Linked DNA regions of Callithrix jacchus. The protein of the gene in region 3 purifies or fractionates together with the protein of the main gene of each other region. This does not show direct contact. Links are inferred from orthologs where the notes say so. Each region holds a gene or a part of one and is shown on either strand. Other genes may lie near its edges. The genes, in order: CARD11, CSNK1A1 and MALT1.

Region 1 (4,757 bases), on a different chromosome or scaffold from region 3:
GCTGCTTTCTATTTGTGGTGGCTCCCTGAGCTGGTGTGTGTTCGCATTGTTTAGAGGTGTGTGTGTGTCTGGTTGTGATAACAAGGGCCAGAGATAGAGAATGAGCTCATCAGGGCAAGAGGCAGAACGAACGTGAAGGTGACAGGTATCCCATTCACCAAACAAGGGGAAAATGGGACGTCACAAGTGTTATTAGCGACGATGCAGAGATCGTGTGCATTATAGAGTCTTTGAGGCAGACGGCGTGACCTAAGCATTGAGTTCTTCCTCATCCCAGCACCCGATGAAGGAAGAGTTGTCACTCTGCATTAGTGGTGTGCTCCCCCAGCTGCCAGGGGCTGGCTCCATGGTGGACGCTGACCTTGGGGACACCAAGAGCAAGTGATGGTGTTTTTTAAAGTCTGGGCCACAGCAGTTTAGGAAATTCTGACAGCTGGAGTGGATAAAAAGCAAGTGGGCAGGGCTTGAGCCAAGATTGTTTTTAGCTGAAAAGAAGATCCGACGGCTGTCCCACAGATCTGTGCTCTTAGAAATGTAGGCCATGGTCCTGCTGGCAGGGAATGGAGAGCAGGGGTCTGCGGGAGGCTAAGCAGGGCTCTGGGCTGGCCATTCCCGCCTCCAGACACGGATGCTAGTTCCAGGCTGTGTTCAGTGTGCAAAATTTATTGAGCTGCGAACTTAAAATGCTCTATTTATGTTCCATTCCAATGCAAAGTTTAATGTTGTATTGATTTAGAGTCGGTCGCGCTCTGTTGCCCAGGCTGGAGTGCAGTGACACGATTAGAGCCTACTGCAGCCGAGACTTCTAGACTCAAGCAACCCTCCCCCACTGCCTCCCGAGCAGCTAGGACTATGGTTATGCACCACCATGCCCAGCTAATGATTTTTAAATTTTTTTAGAGATAGGGTCTTGTTATGTTGCCCAGCTCTCAAACTCCTAGTGTCAAGCAATCCTCCCACCTCTCAAAGTGCTGGGATTGCTGGCATGAACCATTGTGCCTGGCCAACGTTTGGTGGAATTTTTTTTAAGCAATGCCTTCAGCAAAACATAGATGGTCCTTTCTCAAAATGATGAGCTCCTGGTTGAGGACCCTTGCAGATACTCTTGGGACTGGCCAGCCTGACTGCCTCCCCCATGTGTTCCCTACCCTCTTACTTGAAGGCTGGCTAGGGTAGCAGGTGTTTAGGGGGTTTTGTGTGTGTGTGTATGTGTGTGTGTGTGTGTGTGTATGTGTGTGTGTTTGAGACAGAGTCTTGCTCTGTCACCCAGGCTGGAGTGCAATGGCACCATCTCGGCTCACTGCAACCTCCGCTTCCTGGGTTCAAGCAATACTCGTGCCTCAGCCTCCTGACTAGCTGGGATTACAGGTGCATGCCACCACGCCTGGCTAATTTTTGTACTTTTAATAGAGACGGGGTTTCGCCATGTTGATCAGGCTGGTCTCGAACTCCTGACCTCAAGTGATCCGCTCGCCTCAGCCTCCCAAAGCACAAGGATTACAGGCGTGAGCCACCATGCCAGGCTGGTAGCAGGTGTTTCATTCAAACTCATTCACACCACCTGGTTCACCGCAGCCGGGGCCTCATCTCTGCCCATGAACAGCACTGTGGTCAGCAGAGTCCTGGAGTATCCTGACTCATGGGGAGTCTTATCTCCTGGATCAGTGGCAGGTGGCTTTCAGGGCTCCCACCCCACTATCGACCCCAACCCTGCATCCAGGCCCCACCACATGCACCTTCATAGGAGCAGGAGGTGGGTGGGCTGCTGCTGACTGAAGCCACTGTGCCCGCAGAACAAGCACTGCCTGCTGGAGGCTGGGATCAGCTGCGCGAGAGCCTTGATCAAGGCCAACATCTACCCCATCGTGCTCTTCATCAGGGTGTGTGAGAAGAACATCAAGAGGTTCAGGTAGGGCTCCGAGACCCCTGGGGGCTGCCCCTCCTGTCCCTAGCACCCCATCAAGCCTCAGTGGAGGACAGGATGCCTGTGTGCCCCACCTCATGCACCCCTTAGTAAACCCTCACCAAGTACGGGACCGTCCCTTCAGAGCTGACACCTAGGGCAGCGGCCGAGGTGGTGACTCACACACATGGGATACATCATGGGGGACAAGAGTTAGGAGGGACGGGGTGGAGTGCACATCACCCGGGGTGGTCAGGGAAGGCCTTCAGGATGCATCAGCGAGACCCACGGCTGTAAGTGAGGATCCTGTCTGGGAGGCGATGAGAGGCAGTCCGACTCTGGACCTGTGTTCAGGACCAAGCCTGCAAGATTCAGGAAAGGGTTTACTCTGGGGTTCCAAAGAACGAGAGGCCAGGCGCAGTAGGTCACACCTGTCATCCCACACTTTGGAAGGCCAAGGTGGGCGGATCAGCTGAAGCTGGGTATTTGAGACAAGCGTGGCCAACATGGTGAAACCCCATCTCTACCAAAAATACAAAAATTAAGCCGGGCATGGTGGCTCAGGCCTGTAATCCCAGCACTCTGGGAGGCCGATGCAGGTGGATCATGAGGTCAGGAGTTTGACCTCATGACAGCCTGGTCAACATGGTGAAATCACGTCTCTACTGAAAAATACAAAAATAAGCCAGGTGTGGTGGCACATGCCTGTAATCCCATCTACACTTGAATCCAGGAGGTGGAGGTTGCAGTGAGCCGAGATTGTGCCACTGCACTCCAGCCTGGGTGGCAGAGTGAGACTCTATCTAGAAAAAAAAAATACAAAAATTAGCTGGATGTGGGGGTGCACCCCTGTAGTCCCAGCTATTTAGGAGGCTGAAACAGGAGAATCACTTGAACATAGGAGGTGGAGGTTGCTATAAGCTGAGATTGCACCACTGCACTCCAGCCTAGGCAAGAGAGAGAGACTCCAGCTCAAAAAAAAAAAAAAAAGGATGGTGCTGAGGTTTGGAGCCTGGGTGATGAGGACAGACTTGCCCTCCAGCGGCTTCATCTCAGATCCTTGCCCCTCCTGACATGCATCTGCAAAATAAATGTCCTGCTGCCACTTTACAGAGGGAATCACTGAGACTGGGAGGGGTTAGGCCCCTTCATTTCTTTTCACCAGATACTTACTGAGCTCCTGTGAAGGGTTAGGCTCTGGGGAACCCAGCAGTGAGCAAAAGAGACAGACATCCCCACTCAATACCTCACATCCTTTAGGCTGGCTAAGACTGAAAATGCAGAAACTGACAAGTGTTGGTGAGGAGGTTAGATGTCAGAACCCAGCACGCTGCTGCTGAAAGTGCAAAGTAGAGCAGCCCCTGTGGAGGACGGCATGGCGCTTCCTCAAAAATTAGAAATAGAAGACCACAGGATCCATCAACCCACCTGCGGGCATATCCCCAAGGGAACTGAAAGCAGAGTCTCTAAGAGATATTTCCACGCCGGCATTCACACCAGCGTCACTCCCAATAGCCAAAACCTGGAAGTCACCTAAGGGTCCATCAGCGGGGAGTGAATACACACAATGGGGCCCGTCCACACAGGTTAGGAAGGTGTTAAGAGCTGAAAACCTTGCAAACTGTTAACCAAAAAGACTTGAAATAAAGAAATCATAATACATGTTAATATAAGAGAAATTATAGCCTGGTACATGCCTATAGTCCCCCTTCCCCATCCGTCCTGCCTGGAAATGTGTTTGTGGTGCAGAGTGTACTGCACCAAAAATGCTGTATGATTTTTTGGGTGGTTTTTTTTTTTTTTTTTGAGATGGAGTCTTGCTCTGTTGCCTAGGCTGGAGTACAGTGGTGCCATCTCAGCTCACTGCAGCCTCCGCTTCCCGGGTTCAAGTGATTCTCCTGTCTCAGCCTCCCAAGTAGCTGGGATAACAGGTGCCTGCCACCATGCCTGGCTAATTTGTGTATTTTTACTAGAGATGGGGTTTCACCATGTTGCCCGGGCTGGTCTCGAACTCCTGACTTCAAGTTATCCTCCCCCTCAGCCTCCCAGAGTGCTAGCATTATAGATGTGAGCCACCATGCCCAGCCCATACAGTGGAATATTATTCAGCCTTCAAAAGGAAGGAGATTCTGACACCCACGTCAACATGGGTGAACCTTGAGGACGTTATTCCGTCAAATAAGCCAATCACAAAAACACACGTGCTGTATCCGATTCCACTTATATAAGGTCTCTAGAGCAGTCAGATTCCTGGAGACAGGAAGTAGAAGGGTGGTTCCCAGAGACTGCGGGAGGGAAGATGGGGCGTGAGTATTTTATTGGTCCAGAGTTGCAGTTTGGGAAGATGAGGAAGTCTGGAGATGGTTGCACAGCAGTGTATACCTAATGCTACACAGAACATACCTAATGCTACTAAATTCTTCACTGAAAGAATAAGTAAAACGGTCGATTTTATTTTATGCATATCTTAGCACAATTAGAAATTAAAAGGATGTAGCCGGGCGCAGTGGCTCATGCCTGTAATCCCAAATTTGGGAGGCCGAGGCGGGTGAATCATTTGAGGTCAGTAGTTCGAGACCAGCCTGGCAACATGATGAAACCCCATCTCTACTAAAAATACAAAACTTAGCCAGGCATGGTGGTGCGTGCCTATAGTCCCAGGTACTCAGGAGGCTGAGGCAGGACAATTGCTTGGACCTGGGAGACGGAGGTTGCAGTGAGCTGAGATCACGCCACTGCACTCCAGCCTGGGCAACAGAGCAAGACTCCATCTCAAAATAAAAATAAAAATAAAAAGAATGGGTTTGGAATTTCCAGTGAACAGCATGAAGGGGCATGGTCCCTAGCATTAAGA
Region 2 (6,636 bases), on a different chromosome or scaffold from region 3:
GTTTATTACTCATTGCCCTTATGAGTCTGTATCAGGTCTTAAATAAAAGCTACCAGATAAAAGGGCATGTACTTAACTTGGGTTTAGCAGTGAAAATGGCAATGCTTAATGCTTTCTGAAAATGATTTCAAATATATTAAATTTAACCTGATTTGTGAAATTTATAAAATCTCCCAACATAAATAATCTCAAAAACATTATGCTAAGTGAAAAGTGCCAGACACAAATGACCTCATACCATATGATTCCATCTGTAAGAAATTCTAGGAAAAACTAGTGACAGAAAGCAATCAGTGGGTGTAAGGGGCCTTATTTTCCCACACAGGATTTTTTTAAAGACAAGAACCATTTAAAAACCTCAAATCAGGCCCGGCACAGTGGCTCACACCTGTAATCCTATCACTTTGGGAGGCCCAGGTGGGTGGATCACCTGAAGTCAGGAGTTCAAAACCAGCCTGGCCATCAGGGTGAAACCCCATCTTTAAAAAAATAATAATAAATAAATAAATAAAATTTTAAAAAATAAATAAATTGAAACCTCAAATCTGTATCATCTTAGATTTCACATTAATCTTTACGTCAAAAGATAAATTTGGAATTTTCTTCCAAGTGATTTACCTGCCCATTTACAACCAATAGCAAATTTTATCATTCAGTTCTCCGTCAAAACTAACAGCTGGCCCGGCGCGGTGGCTCACGCCAGTAATCCCCAGCACTTTGGGAGGCCGAGGCAGGTGGATCACCTGAGGTCAGGAGTTCAAGACCAGCCTGACCAATACAGTGAAACCCCGTCCCTTCAAAAAAAAAAAAAAATTTTTTTTTTAATAGAAAATAAAAACTAACAGCTTTGGAACTTTTTTTTAGGATAGTTTTATTTGTGTTGTTTCCATGTAAGCACTATGCAATCCAGTCCTTAATTCAAGATCTGAAAAAAAAAAAACCTGAAATAGAAAAGGGGCTACAAGCCTGGCATAGTGCCTCACGCCTATAATTCCAGCACTTTGGGAGGCCATGCCAGTAGATCACCTGAGGTCAGGAGTTTGAGACCACCCTGGCCAACATGGTGAAACCTCATCTCTACTAAACAAACAAAAAATTAGCTGGGCATGGTGGCGCAGGCCTGTAATTCCAGATACTTAGGAGGCTGAGGCAGGAGGATCGCTTGAACCCGGGAGTCGAAGGTTGCAGTGAGTCGAGATGGTGCCACTGTACTCCAGCCTGGGCAACAGAGTAAGACTCCTCTCAAAAAAAAAAAAAAGCCAGGATTGGTGGCTCACACCCATAATCCCAGCATTTTCGGAGGCTGAGGTGGGAAAATGACCTGAGGTCAGGAGTTCCAGGCCAGCCTGACAAACGTGGTGAAACCCCTTTTCTACTAAAAATACAAAAATTAGGCCAGGCGTGGCGGCTCACACCTGTAATCCCGGCACTTTGGGAGGCCGAGAGAGCAGGTCACGAGGCCAGGAGATGGAGACCATCTGGCTAAGATGGTGAAACCCCGTCTCTACTAAAAATACAAAAAATTAGCTGGGCGTGGTGGCACCAGCCTGTAGTCCCAGCTACTCTGGAGCCTGAGGCACAAGAATCGTTTGAACCTGGGAGGCACAGGTTGCAGTGAGCAGAGATCGTGTGACTGCGCTCCAACCTAGGTGGCAAGAGCAAAAACGCCATTTCAAAACAAAAACAACAACAACAAAACAAAAAAAGAGGCTCCAGTAAACAGTAAATACCATTCTCAACTATTCTGAAAATTTTTGCAAATTTTTTTTTATTATCGCTGGAAAACAGCTGGGTTTTAAACTACATTTTAGTCTCTATTCCATGAAGAGGCTCTTTTAATCCCTAAAGTCAAAACATTACTCTAAAACCCTCAAGAGTTGACGGAACAATGTATTTCTATCTCGTCACCTTGTATCCTCATTACCACTATTTGTATCCACCAATATTCCACACCAAAAAAGGCCACAATTTCTCTGATGTTAAAATTTACTGATAAACTCAACAGGTTAAAATTACTTATCAAAGTGTGGCTAAGTGATTAAGCTCTCTTTTAATAAAACTGAGCTGAGTAAATTTTAACATGGTGGTGCTCAAACTGCCTCTGCCACTATCTATACAAATTTAGTTTGGACTGAAAAGTGACAAACATGACCATTCACTAAAGGAAAGAGTAATTAACACTTTTAAAAGAACTACAAAGGATTTTACATAGTATAATTCAACAATTTCGTATCATATCTGCTGACGAGATCACAAACATTGTCACTATGCCATGTCCTTCCTGGAACCCCACTGGCTCCTGCAGCTTTATTCTTGACTTTTTCAAAGGTTTAAACCACTTGGGGCTGCTGAAGGAGGTATCAAGGAAGCATAATTTGTGAACCCAAGCTGAGAAAAGGGCAGGAATATGGGGTTGAGTCACGTCGTTCCGCCATTTTCTAAGCGGAGGAGGAAGACATGTTGGAACAAAAACACAACAAAAGAGCAGCCATTTCCCAAGCCAGCTCCAATAGCAACCCGAAATGACACTGCCCTGTCGCTTCGCCACCTTCAAATCCACTTCACTGAGCAAACCTCTGAACACCAGACATGCCGCCGTAAAAAAGGCAGCAGTCAAACCTTCCGCGTAGAGATCAAAGATGACCTGCACACTTTACTGCAAATGAAAGCCTCGGGAAGAGGGAGAAATGACGGAAGCGAAATGGGACACAGTGTAATACAATGAAATTTTAAACTAAGTTAGCAAACTGAAATTTACTCAGTGATTGCGATAACTGACTTACAGGAAGCCACTAGCTGTAGGGAACCCAGGTAACTGAAACACCAAGACCTGGATTCAGCTGGTCTCCTTACCTGCCTCTACCCACTTCCCCATTCCGTGCTTCCCTCAGCAGACCGCCTATATGCACAGGGTTCTTACCGTATGTGGGGGATGCCAACCCCACCTTGAAGAATCTTATAGAGCTTGCTCTCGTACAGCAACTGGGGATGCCTGGCCTTCTGAGATTCTAGCTTCACTGCCACTTCCTGCAGGGGAAAGAGGGATGATGGCATCAACATCCCTACGGATTCAATGTCACTTAGGAAAGGAGGGAGAGACATTAGCAAAACTCCAAGTCGCGACTACAGGGAAAAAGCGAAAGACTGGAAAGAGAAAGCTCTCTGTAATTATAAAATGAGGCAACCAGCCTCTTCAGGGGGTAGTGACGAAATCCCTACCTCTTCTAAAGTGCAGGAAAATGATTCATCCAGAAAAAAAGAGGCAACCTCTGAACGTAATGAGAGGTTTTTAAGGAACTAGGCGATCGGAAACTGTTCTAATTGGAATAAGAGGCCAGCAGAATTAAAAATAAAATAAAATAAAAGCATGGGAATCACAGAAATAGGATTTTGCCGTTTCCACCTTAAAAAACGGTTAAAAAAAAAAAAGTTCAACTAAGGGACATTTATGGGACGTGTTTAACAAGCTGGGAACCTTCCCCAACCTTTCTATCGGGTTCTTGATCCTTTTAGGGAAAGAGCGGGGGAGGTTCAAAAGCCAGGAAAACTAGCTCTCTGGACTCCCTGACGAGTGCGTGCGGTGGGGAGAGGCCCAAGCACTTTAGGGGTGCGCGGTGGTGGGGGCGGGGAATGAGGAAATGCCCAGCGTTATCGTCAACCCTACCCCAGGTGATTACCTCGCCGTTGGTGATGTTGATCGCCAGATAGATGTCCCCGAAGGAGCCAGACCCGATCTTCCGTACCAGTTTGTATTTCCCTCCGACAATGAATTCGGCCTTGGAGCCGCTGCTGCTCGCCATCCTGAGAGACGAAGATGGAGGCTGGGGCCAAGCCCCGACACCTCTGAGGGGAAGACGGAGACCTCTCGAGCTCCTACACCGGGCAAGGCTACGGAGGAAGGCAGCAGGAAACGGAACACAGAGGCCTTTACCGGCGTTCGGGGCCCAGAATCAGCCGAGGGGAACCTGATCACCACCGCTCAGTCAGGTTTCTTTTTGCCAGGCCGCACTTTGTGAAGGGCTTCTCGCGGCTACCAGGCTGGGCCACTTGTTCTCGTTGGCGGCCGATGCCTGCTTGAGCGGCGACGTCGCGGGCAGGAAAAGGGGCGCGGTGAGCTAGGGCGGCGATACCACTGCCAGCACTGCTGCTGGCTCCGGCCCGGAGGGACCCCTGTCACTCCGCCGACGACGCCATCTTGTTACTCCAGCTCCAGCCAACACAAAATGCCCCCAGTCCCCGGGAGCCGCTTCTTCACGGCGCAGAGCACTCTGGGAAAGGGATCTCGGGCGCTCGCTCCGGAGGATCTGCAGCCAGAGGGAGGGCGGAACCGGATCCGTGAGAGTCGCGGCCCACGCTCCAAGCGTCACCTCGTCACCGCCCAGCTGCGCATGAGCACTGTAACTCCTGCTGACTGCGCAGGCGTGCCGCGGCTGGTACTCACCCCGCCCCAGGCTCTCTTCCACTTCCGGTTGGCGGCTGTTCAGCCGGTGCTACCTGTTACCACGGACCCGCCCGGACCCGCCCGGTCTCTGGAAGGCTGAGTGGCCTCAGGCACCGATGTCAGGGAGAAGTCACCTTCCCGTTTCCTAACAGATAAAAGCTTCAGGCCTCCTTAGGAGTTTGGTATTGACCTTTGCTCTTTGTTTCAGGAGGTTTTTTTTTTTTTTTTTTTGAGACGGAGTTTCACTCTTGTTACCCAGGCTGGAGTGCAATGGCGCGATCTCGGCTCACCGCAGCCTCCGCCTCCTGGGTTCAAGCAATTCTCCTGCCTCAGCCTCCCGAGTAGCTGGGATTACAGGCCCACGCCACTATGCCCAGCCAATTTTTTTTTTTGTACTTTTAGTAGAGACAGGGTTTCACCATGTTGACCAGGATGGTCTCGATCTCTTGACCTCGTGATCCACCCGCCTCGGCCTCCCAAAGTGCTGGGATTATAGGTATGAGCCACCGCGCCCGGCCTGTTTCAGGCGGTTTTTAATCTTTGATCTTCTGGCCGCTCCCCCCGACCGGCCTATTGCAACCAAGTTTCTGTTTGGAAAGAGGCTATCGCCTCTGGTGGAGAAGAAGAGAAAAGCAGCCCGCGTATCGGGCTGATCGAATCGTTCAGGGCTCTCGGTTGTAGCAAAGCCCAGCTAATTACCCTTCATAAATAGAACTGTGTTCTCTACTACGGAGTGTTAGAGACCCTGTTTGCTCAGGAGGGGAAAAAAGAAGCCGGAATCCTCCTACCGTCCTTTGTCTTTGCATTATTGCCCCACTACCACATTTGATCTTCATGAGAAAACCGGGTATCTTGCCATAATGAAGATTAGTAATAGGTGGAATCAACAGAAAATTAACAAGAGTGAAAAAACTGTTCTAGCCCTCCTCCCAATCCCACCAAAAAAACGAAAAAAAAAAAAAGAATCATATGTTGGTCATATGGAAAACCTCAATATTAACCTTAACATATAGCAGAGGTAACTGTCGCAAAACATAATTGACAACATTTAAAACCATATGGTAGCCAGGGGCACGGTGGCTCACGCCTGTAATCCCAGCACTTTGGGAGGCTGAGGCGGGGGTATCACGAGGACAAGAGATCAAGACTATCCTGGCCAACATGGTGAAACCCCATCTCTACTAAAAATACAAAAATTAGCTGGGCGTGATGGCAGGCGCCTGTAGTCCTAGGTACTCAGGAGGCTGAGAGAGGAGAATCGCTTGAACCTGGGAGATGGAGGTTGCAGTGAGCCAAGATCATGCCTCTGCACTCCAGCTGGGTGACAGAGTAAGACTGTGTCTCAAAAACAAAACAAACTACACGGTAATTTTTTTCTTTTTACTAAAAATAGATCAGAGAATGAAATCTTGACCACATATTGTTTTACAAAATTTGATGGCCAGGAGTGGTGGCTCACGCCTGTAATCCCAGCACTTTGGGAGGCCAAGGTGTTTGGATCACCAGAGGTCAGAATTCAAGACTAGCTGGACAACATGGTGAAACCCCATCTCCACTAAAAATACAAAAATCTGCCATGTGTGGTGGCACACACTTGTAACCCCAGCTTCTCGGGAAGCTGAGAATCATTTGAACCCGGAAGGCAGAGATTGTGGTGAGCGTAGATCACGCCACTGCACTTTCAACCCGGGCAACAGAGAGACCCTGTCTCAAAAAAAAAATTATAAGTACAAATGGAAAAAAATGTGAAGTATTTTAACTGCAACTTTGAAAGCTGATCAGGTAATTAGTAATAGGGTTCATCTTGGAAGAGATCTTAACTGAAGAGAGAGGGGAAAAGACTTCCCCTAAGGTTTAGCATGAAGTTTTAAAGCACAACCAACACCTGGGGTGCCCAACTCCCAAATCAGCCCTATTAGACATCATTTGCCTTTGGTGACTCGAAAGCACATTTTGACTAAGTTAAAATCTGCTGTTAAACTCTGGTCTAAAATTAAAAAAAAAAAAAAGCCAAATATGGCTAGACATGGTGGCTCACACCTGTAATCCCAGCACTTTGGGAAGCCTAGGCAGGTGGATCACCTGAGGTCAGGAGTTCAGGACCAGCCTGACCAACATATAGAAACTGTCTCTACTAAAAATGCAAAATTAGCTGAGTGTGGTGGCACATTCCTGTAATCCCAGCTACTCAGGGG
Region 3 (5,896 bases):
TTACCATAACATGTCCAAAACAGTTTTAATAATTTTTAAAACAACTGTCTACTTGATGGGATTAAAAAGTAGAAAGATATCATCATAGTTTTAATTATTCCTTAGTTACTTAAATTAGCCATTTTTAAGATTTCTTTCTCAATTAATATACTTCTAGAAATGTGGATTATTGAATTTGCATCCATTTGCTTGTTTACTGAGGAGTCTTAATTTTTTTCTCTTAGCATTTTGTATGAGCTCATTATTAAAAAATATTTTAAAAATGACCTACTTGATTAAATTCGTTACAAATACTTTTTTTTTTTTTTTTTTGAGATGGAGTCTCACTCTGTCACCAAGCTGGAGTGTGGTGGTGTGATCTTAGCTCACTGCAACCTCCGTCTCTTGGGTTCAAGTGATTCTCCTGCCTCAGCTTCCTTAGTAGCTAGAACTACAGGTGCATGTCACCACATCCAGCTAATTTTTTTCTGTTTTTAGCAGAGATGGTGTTTTACCATGTTGGCCAGGATGATCTTGATCTCCTGACCTTGTGATCCTCCCACCTCAGCCCCCTAAAGTGCTGGGATTACACCATGCCTGGCCTGTTACAAATACTTTCTCTATGACCTTTTAGTGTTATGAGGTTTCGTTTACTGTTGATCTTTACCCCTATAATTTTGTTATTGTTTGTTCTTTAGATCTTCTATAGAGAAAAGACATTCAATTTTAATTACTTCTCCAGTTATCTGGAATGGTGAGATATTTATGGCATTTTACATTTTAATGTGCTTTAATATGTTAACTTACCAAAAATATATATTGGAGAACAATTTTTTTTTTTTTTTGAGACCGTTTTCAGGCTGGAGTGCAATAGTGCAACCTTGGCTTACTGCAACCTCCAACTCCTGTGTTCATGCGATTCTCCTGGCTCAGTATTCAGAGTAACTGGGATTATAGGTGCTCAGCTAATTTTTATATTTTTAGTAGAGAGGGAGTTTCACCATGTTGGCCAGGCTGGTCTTGAACTCCTGACCTCAGGTGATCCACCCATCTCGGCCTCCCAAAGTGCTGGGATTACAGACATGAGCCACCAAGCCTGGCCAAGAACAAAAATTATTGTAAAAATATTTTATGGAACTTCAATAAATACAATTATAAGAGACTCACAGAATAGATACTTGGACTCAGAAAATCCACAATATTTCAATCAGTAATTTAAACGTATTTTTTCATTAAACCATATACAATTACCCAAAGGTAATTATGCTACAGACTGATTGTTGATCAACCTATTTGATCAACCTACTGATCAAGTATCCAAGAGAGGATGCTGAGTTATATTAGTAATCACAAGCACAGAGGATTTGCTGAGTGCCATGCTCATTTCTACCTGTGCCATCACTCAATCCCAATAACCTACGAAGCAGGTACTATTTATTTTATTTTCGAGATGGAGTCATGTTCTGTTACCCAGACTGGAGTGCAGTGGCACAGTCTCTGCTCACTGCACTGCAACCTCTACCTCCAACGTGCAAGGGATTCTCTTGTATCAGTGCCTAGTGGTTGGAATTACAGGAACATGCCACCACGCCCTGCTAACTTTTTGTGTTTTTAGTAGAGACAAGGTTTTGCCATGTTTCCCAGGCTGGTCTTGAACTCCTAACCTCAGGTGATCTACCTGCTTTAGCCTCCCAAAGTGCTAGGTTTACAGGTGTGAGTCACTGCGCCTGGCCTGAAACAGATACTATTTCTTATTCATGTTATAGATAACATGTTCATAGATTGGTTCAGACTGGATCAGACCCCAAATCCACGAATTTTGACAGCTGCACACTTTAACAGGTCGCAATACAGGAGAATCTAAGGGATTATGTATTAGACAAATGGAAAATTAACCTATTTTTAAAATAGAAAAATTTTTAAATGGTTATTTTAATTTTACCAATAGTGAAAATAATGGGCTAAATAATTTGTATTTCCAACATCAAATAAACCAGTGTAATTAATATCCATAATTGAAACATTTGTTTGGTTTGAGATTTGTCTGGTAGGCCAAAATATTTTCATTGTAAAACTGGGAGGAAAGTTAGTTATTCAGAAGAAGAAAACTATATGACTTAAGATAAATATATTATAGATCAAACAAAAAACAGACTTTACTATACCATGAGCCTTGGCCCACTGTAGATTCCGCACCAGAGATTCTGCAGAATATTCTGTTCCCTGTATTGGATCAGTAAGTGCTCTCTTCTCAGATAAACTACTTCGAATCTCTAAAGCCTGTTTGCCTTTGGTAAGGTGACACTTACCCATATCTAAAAGATATGAAAAGAAATATTATTTTTTTGAGATGAAATCTCGCTCTGCTGCCCAACCCAAGCTGGAGTGCAGTGGTGTGATCTCAGCTCACTGCAACCTCTGCCTCAGCCTCCCGAATAGCTGGGATTACAGGTGCCCAGCTATTTTGTATTTTTAGTTTTGAACGCCTGACCTCATGATCCACCTGCCTCTCTGCTTCCCAAAGTGCTGGATCACAGGCACGAGCCACCATGTTCGGCCAATACTATTTTAAGACCACCAATTCTTATGTTTTAAATATTTAGGCTAATAACTACCCTACGTTATCAGGTTACATTCTCAGTATCATTTATCCACTCAACAAATATTTCCTGAGCACCTACTATGTGGTAGACACAGCAGGCATGTTTTAATTTTTACTCATGTGTAGATATTCATAAATAGTATATGCCAATGTTTTACGTTTTTGAATTCAACAAAAATGTTACATGTATGTCTTTGTAATGTGCCATTTTCATTCAACATGTTTTAGATACAGACTAATGTATATGGATACACATCAGTTTAAATTTGGACTATCATGTTCTTTAAGTTATAGTTTATCCTACTTCTTTCTGCTATGTTATAAATTCACAATAGTAAGGTTCTTTAAAAAAAAAGAAAAAAAAGACAAAAATATTCAGTGATCCAGAACAAAGTCTAAGTTAAATCAGCCTGTTGGGGGTTAAAAGGAGACACCAAGTGTTGTAAAAGTACCTCAAAATTAGTATTTGTTGGAGAAGAAAAGATATAAAAAGGAAAATGAGCCAAATAAAAAAATTAGATAGTAAAAACAGATACAAAAAATAACAAACGCAAATGAACTTAATTTTCTCATTAAAAGACTCAGATTGGATTTTAAACAATTTGTTATATGATGCCTCCAAAAGCTACAGTAAAGCAGAACAACATGAAATGTTTGAAAGTAAAAGTGTAAAGAATAACATATTAGGTCAACAAAAAGGAAGCTGGTATGGCTCTATGACGATACAAAAAAACAAAAAGCATTATTTGGAATGGAGGCATCACTACATAATAAAACGTTCAATTCAGTAAGAAAATATAAACATTTAAAGCACAATAAAATAGTCATAATATGTATGTATTAGGAGTTCTATGTATGTATTAGTTATATGTATATAATAACTAATAACCCTAATATATGGTTAGGGTTATTAGTTATATGTATGTATTAGTTATATGTATGTAATAACTAATAACCCTAATACATGGTTAGGGTTAGGGTTATTAGTTATATGTATGTATTAGTTATATGTATTTATTATATGTAAGTATCTACTAATACATATTATGAAGTAAAAATTGCTATAATTACAAGAAAAATTAGGTAAATTGAGAGATTTCAGCATCTCAACTATTGATCAAAAATCAGCAGAAATACAGAACTGAACAAAAATTAATACGCCAAACCTAATGGGCATACATAAAGCTCTACAACCAGTCACTATAAAAATATCAATTTTTCTCAAGTACACATGCAAAATTGACAAAATTTCATCTTTTACTTGGCCATAATGAAAACTCACAAATTTCAAAGCATGGCAACTAGACAGAGTTTGTTTGATCACAAAGCAATTAAGGTAGAAATAAAAACTGAAAAGCTAAATAAAAATTCCTGCCGTGTTTGAAAATTAAAGACAATATTATATAACTTAAAGAAAAAGCAGAAATTAAAAAATCTAAACCTGTAGGATGTGATGAAAGTGATGTTCTAAGAGAGATATACAGACTTAGAAACTTAAACTGGAAAAAATAGGCTAAAAGTGAATGAACTATTTATGATGTTAGAAAAAGAATAAATGCAAGGCAAGACATAAACAAACAGAAGTTAATGATTTAGAAAACAGTGAAAAAGTAGAAGAAATCAACAGAGCCAAAGATTGGTTCTTCAATACAAAATAGCACAATGGGCCAAAGCTGGCAATAAAGAAAAAAGGAAAGCAGGTACAAGTAACACTGATGAAAAGGGGTGTGTAACTACAGAGAAAGCGGAGATTAAAGAATACTATTAGAAATATGGGCAACTAAATGACAACAAATCTGAAAATTGCCCAAATTCCTAGGAAAATATAACTTGTCAAAATTGACTCAAAAAAGAAATGAAAAGCCTACATGGTAAAAGAAATATTCAAGATATTAAAACAGTAGTTAAAAATCTACCAAAAACAAAACAAAACAAATCCTAGATTGGCTTATAGGCAAGTTCTCCCATAAACATTAGGGAAGAGATCATAATTTATAGAAAATTTCCCAGTAAACAACAGGGTGTACTCCTGTATTAGAGTTCTCCAGAGAAGCAGTACCAATAGGATGCGTGTATGCATACGTGCATGCATGCGTGTACGTGCATGTGTGTGTATATATATAGAGGGAGAAGAAGAGATTAACTTAAGGTATTGGTTTATGAAATTGTGGCAGTGCAAGTCTGAAATCTGCAGGGCAGGCAGGCAGGGTGGGGATGCAGAGAATAGTTGTAGTCTGAGCCCCAAAGGCAGGTTGCTGGCAAACTCCTTGCTTGTGGGAGGTCCGTCTTTGCTCCAGTAAGGCCTTCAGCTAACTGGATGACGTGCATCACCATTATGGAGGGCAATCTGATTTACTCAAAGTCCATCAATTTAAACTTTAATCTTGTCCAGAATAATGCTGGATCCATCACATCTTGAATAATCTAAATAACTAAATAAATACCTTGGCACTGAGGCCTAGTGAAAGTTGACATAAAATCAACCATCACAACCTCCATCTCATTCTACAAGGCCAGCACAACAATGATACTCTGCATGCCACGAATACTGATAACACTGATACCACTAAATACTAATTTTATTTTCTCATAAAATTAAACAACAACAACAAAAATTAAACCAAATACTATATGAAAGTAAAATTACAGGCCTATTTCCCATATGAAAATAGATACAAAAATTCTAAACAAAATGACAGCAAATTAAATCTAGTAGTGTATTAAAAATATATGCCAATGAAAATGATTTATCTCAAGTTGGATTAATTTTAGACTATCCATTAATTTAACTCACCATATTAAGAAATTGAAAAAGAAACATCCTATTATCTTTTCATAGCTGCAGAAAGACCATTTAATCTTGTTCAACATTTATTCATAATAAAAACTTTCAAAAAAATTAGGTGAAGAGAACTTCCTAAACCCAATAAAGAGTATTAAAAAAAACTTACAGTATTATTCTAAATGTGAAAACATTAGCAGTATTCCCTTTAAAGTCAGAAACGAGACAAGGATGCCCACAACTACCACTTCTATTTCAATAGTGTCTTAGAGGTCCTAGCTAATATCACATCAAGAACCCATACAACATTCCTCTAAATCTATAAGTAAAAAACCCACGCAGTAGGAAAATGGACAAATGACATGAACAGATGTTTCACATAAGATATACATATAGCTATTAAAAATATGAACAATGTTCAGTATCACTAGTGGTTAGGGAAAACCATATCAAGACCACATGAGATACTGCTTAACATGTGACTGGCATAAATATAAAAGTCTGACTATCAAGTGATGGATAGAGTACAGATT

The links.
Region 1: the proteins of MALT1 (region 3) and CARD11 purify together in Homo sapiens (affinity purification with western blotting; 6 studies listed by BioGRID and IntAct, with this or other methods). This does not show direct contact. The link is inferred for Callithrix jacchus from reciprocal best matches to the Homo sapiens genes MALT1 and CARD11.
Region 2: the proteins of MALT1 (region 3) and CSNK1A1 purify together in Homo sapiens (affinity purification with western blotting; 3 studies listed by BioGRID and IntAct, with this or other methods). This does not show direct contact. The link is inferred for Callithrix jacchus from reciprocal best matches to the Homo sapiens genes MALT1 and CSNK1A1.

What each region holds. Positions count from the first base shown.
Region 1 is NC_133503.1:19,481,921-19,486,677, forward strand, and holds part of CARD11 (caspase recruitment domain-containing protein 11), read left to right. Parts: intron 1-1,793; coding exon 1,794-1,909; intron 1,910-4,757. UniProt on the Homo sapiens protein: Adapter protein that plays a key role in adaptive immune response by transducing the activation of NF-kappa-B downstream of T-cell receptor (TCR) and B-cell receptor (BCR) engagement.
Region 2 is NC_133503.1:48,238,212-48,244,847, forward strand, and holds the start of CSNK1A1 (casein kinase I), read right to left. Parts: upstream 4,309-6,636; 5' UTR 3,801-4,308; coding exon 3,678-3,800; intron 3,028-3,677; coding exon 2,921-3,027; intron 1-2,920.
Region 3 is NC_133514.1:101,762,726-101,768,621, reverse strand, and holds part of MALT1 (mucosa-associated lymphoid tissue lymphoma translocation protein 1), read right to left. Parts: intron 2,295-5,896; coding exon 2,145-2,294; intron 1-2,144. UniProt on the Homo sapiens protein: Protease that enhances BCL10-induced activation: acts via formation of CBM complexes that channel adaptive and innate immune signaling downstream of CARD domain-containing proteins (CARD9, CARD11 and CARD14) to activate NF-kappa-B and MAP kinase p38 pathways which stimulate expression of genes encoding pro-inflammatory cytokines and chemokines.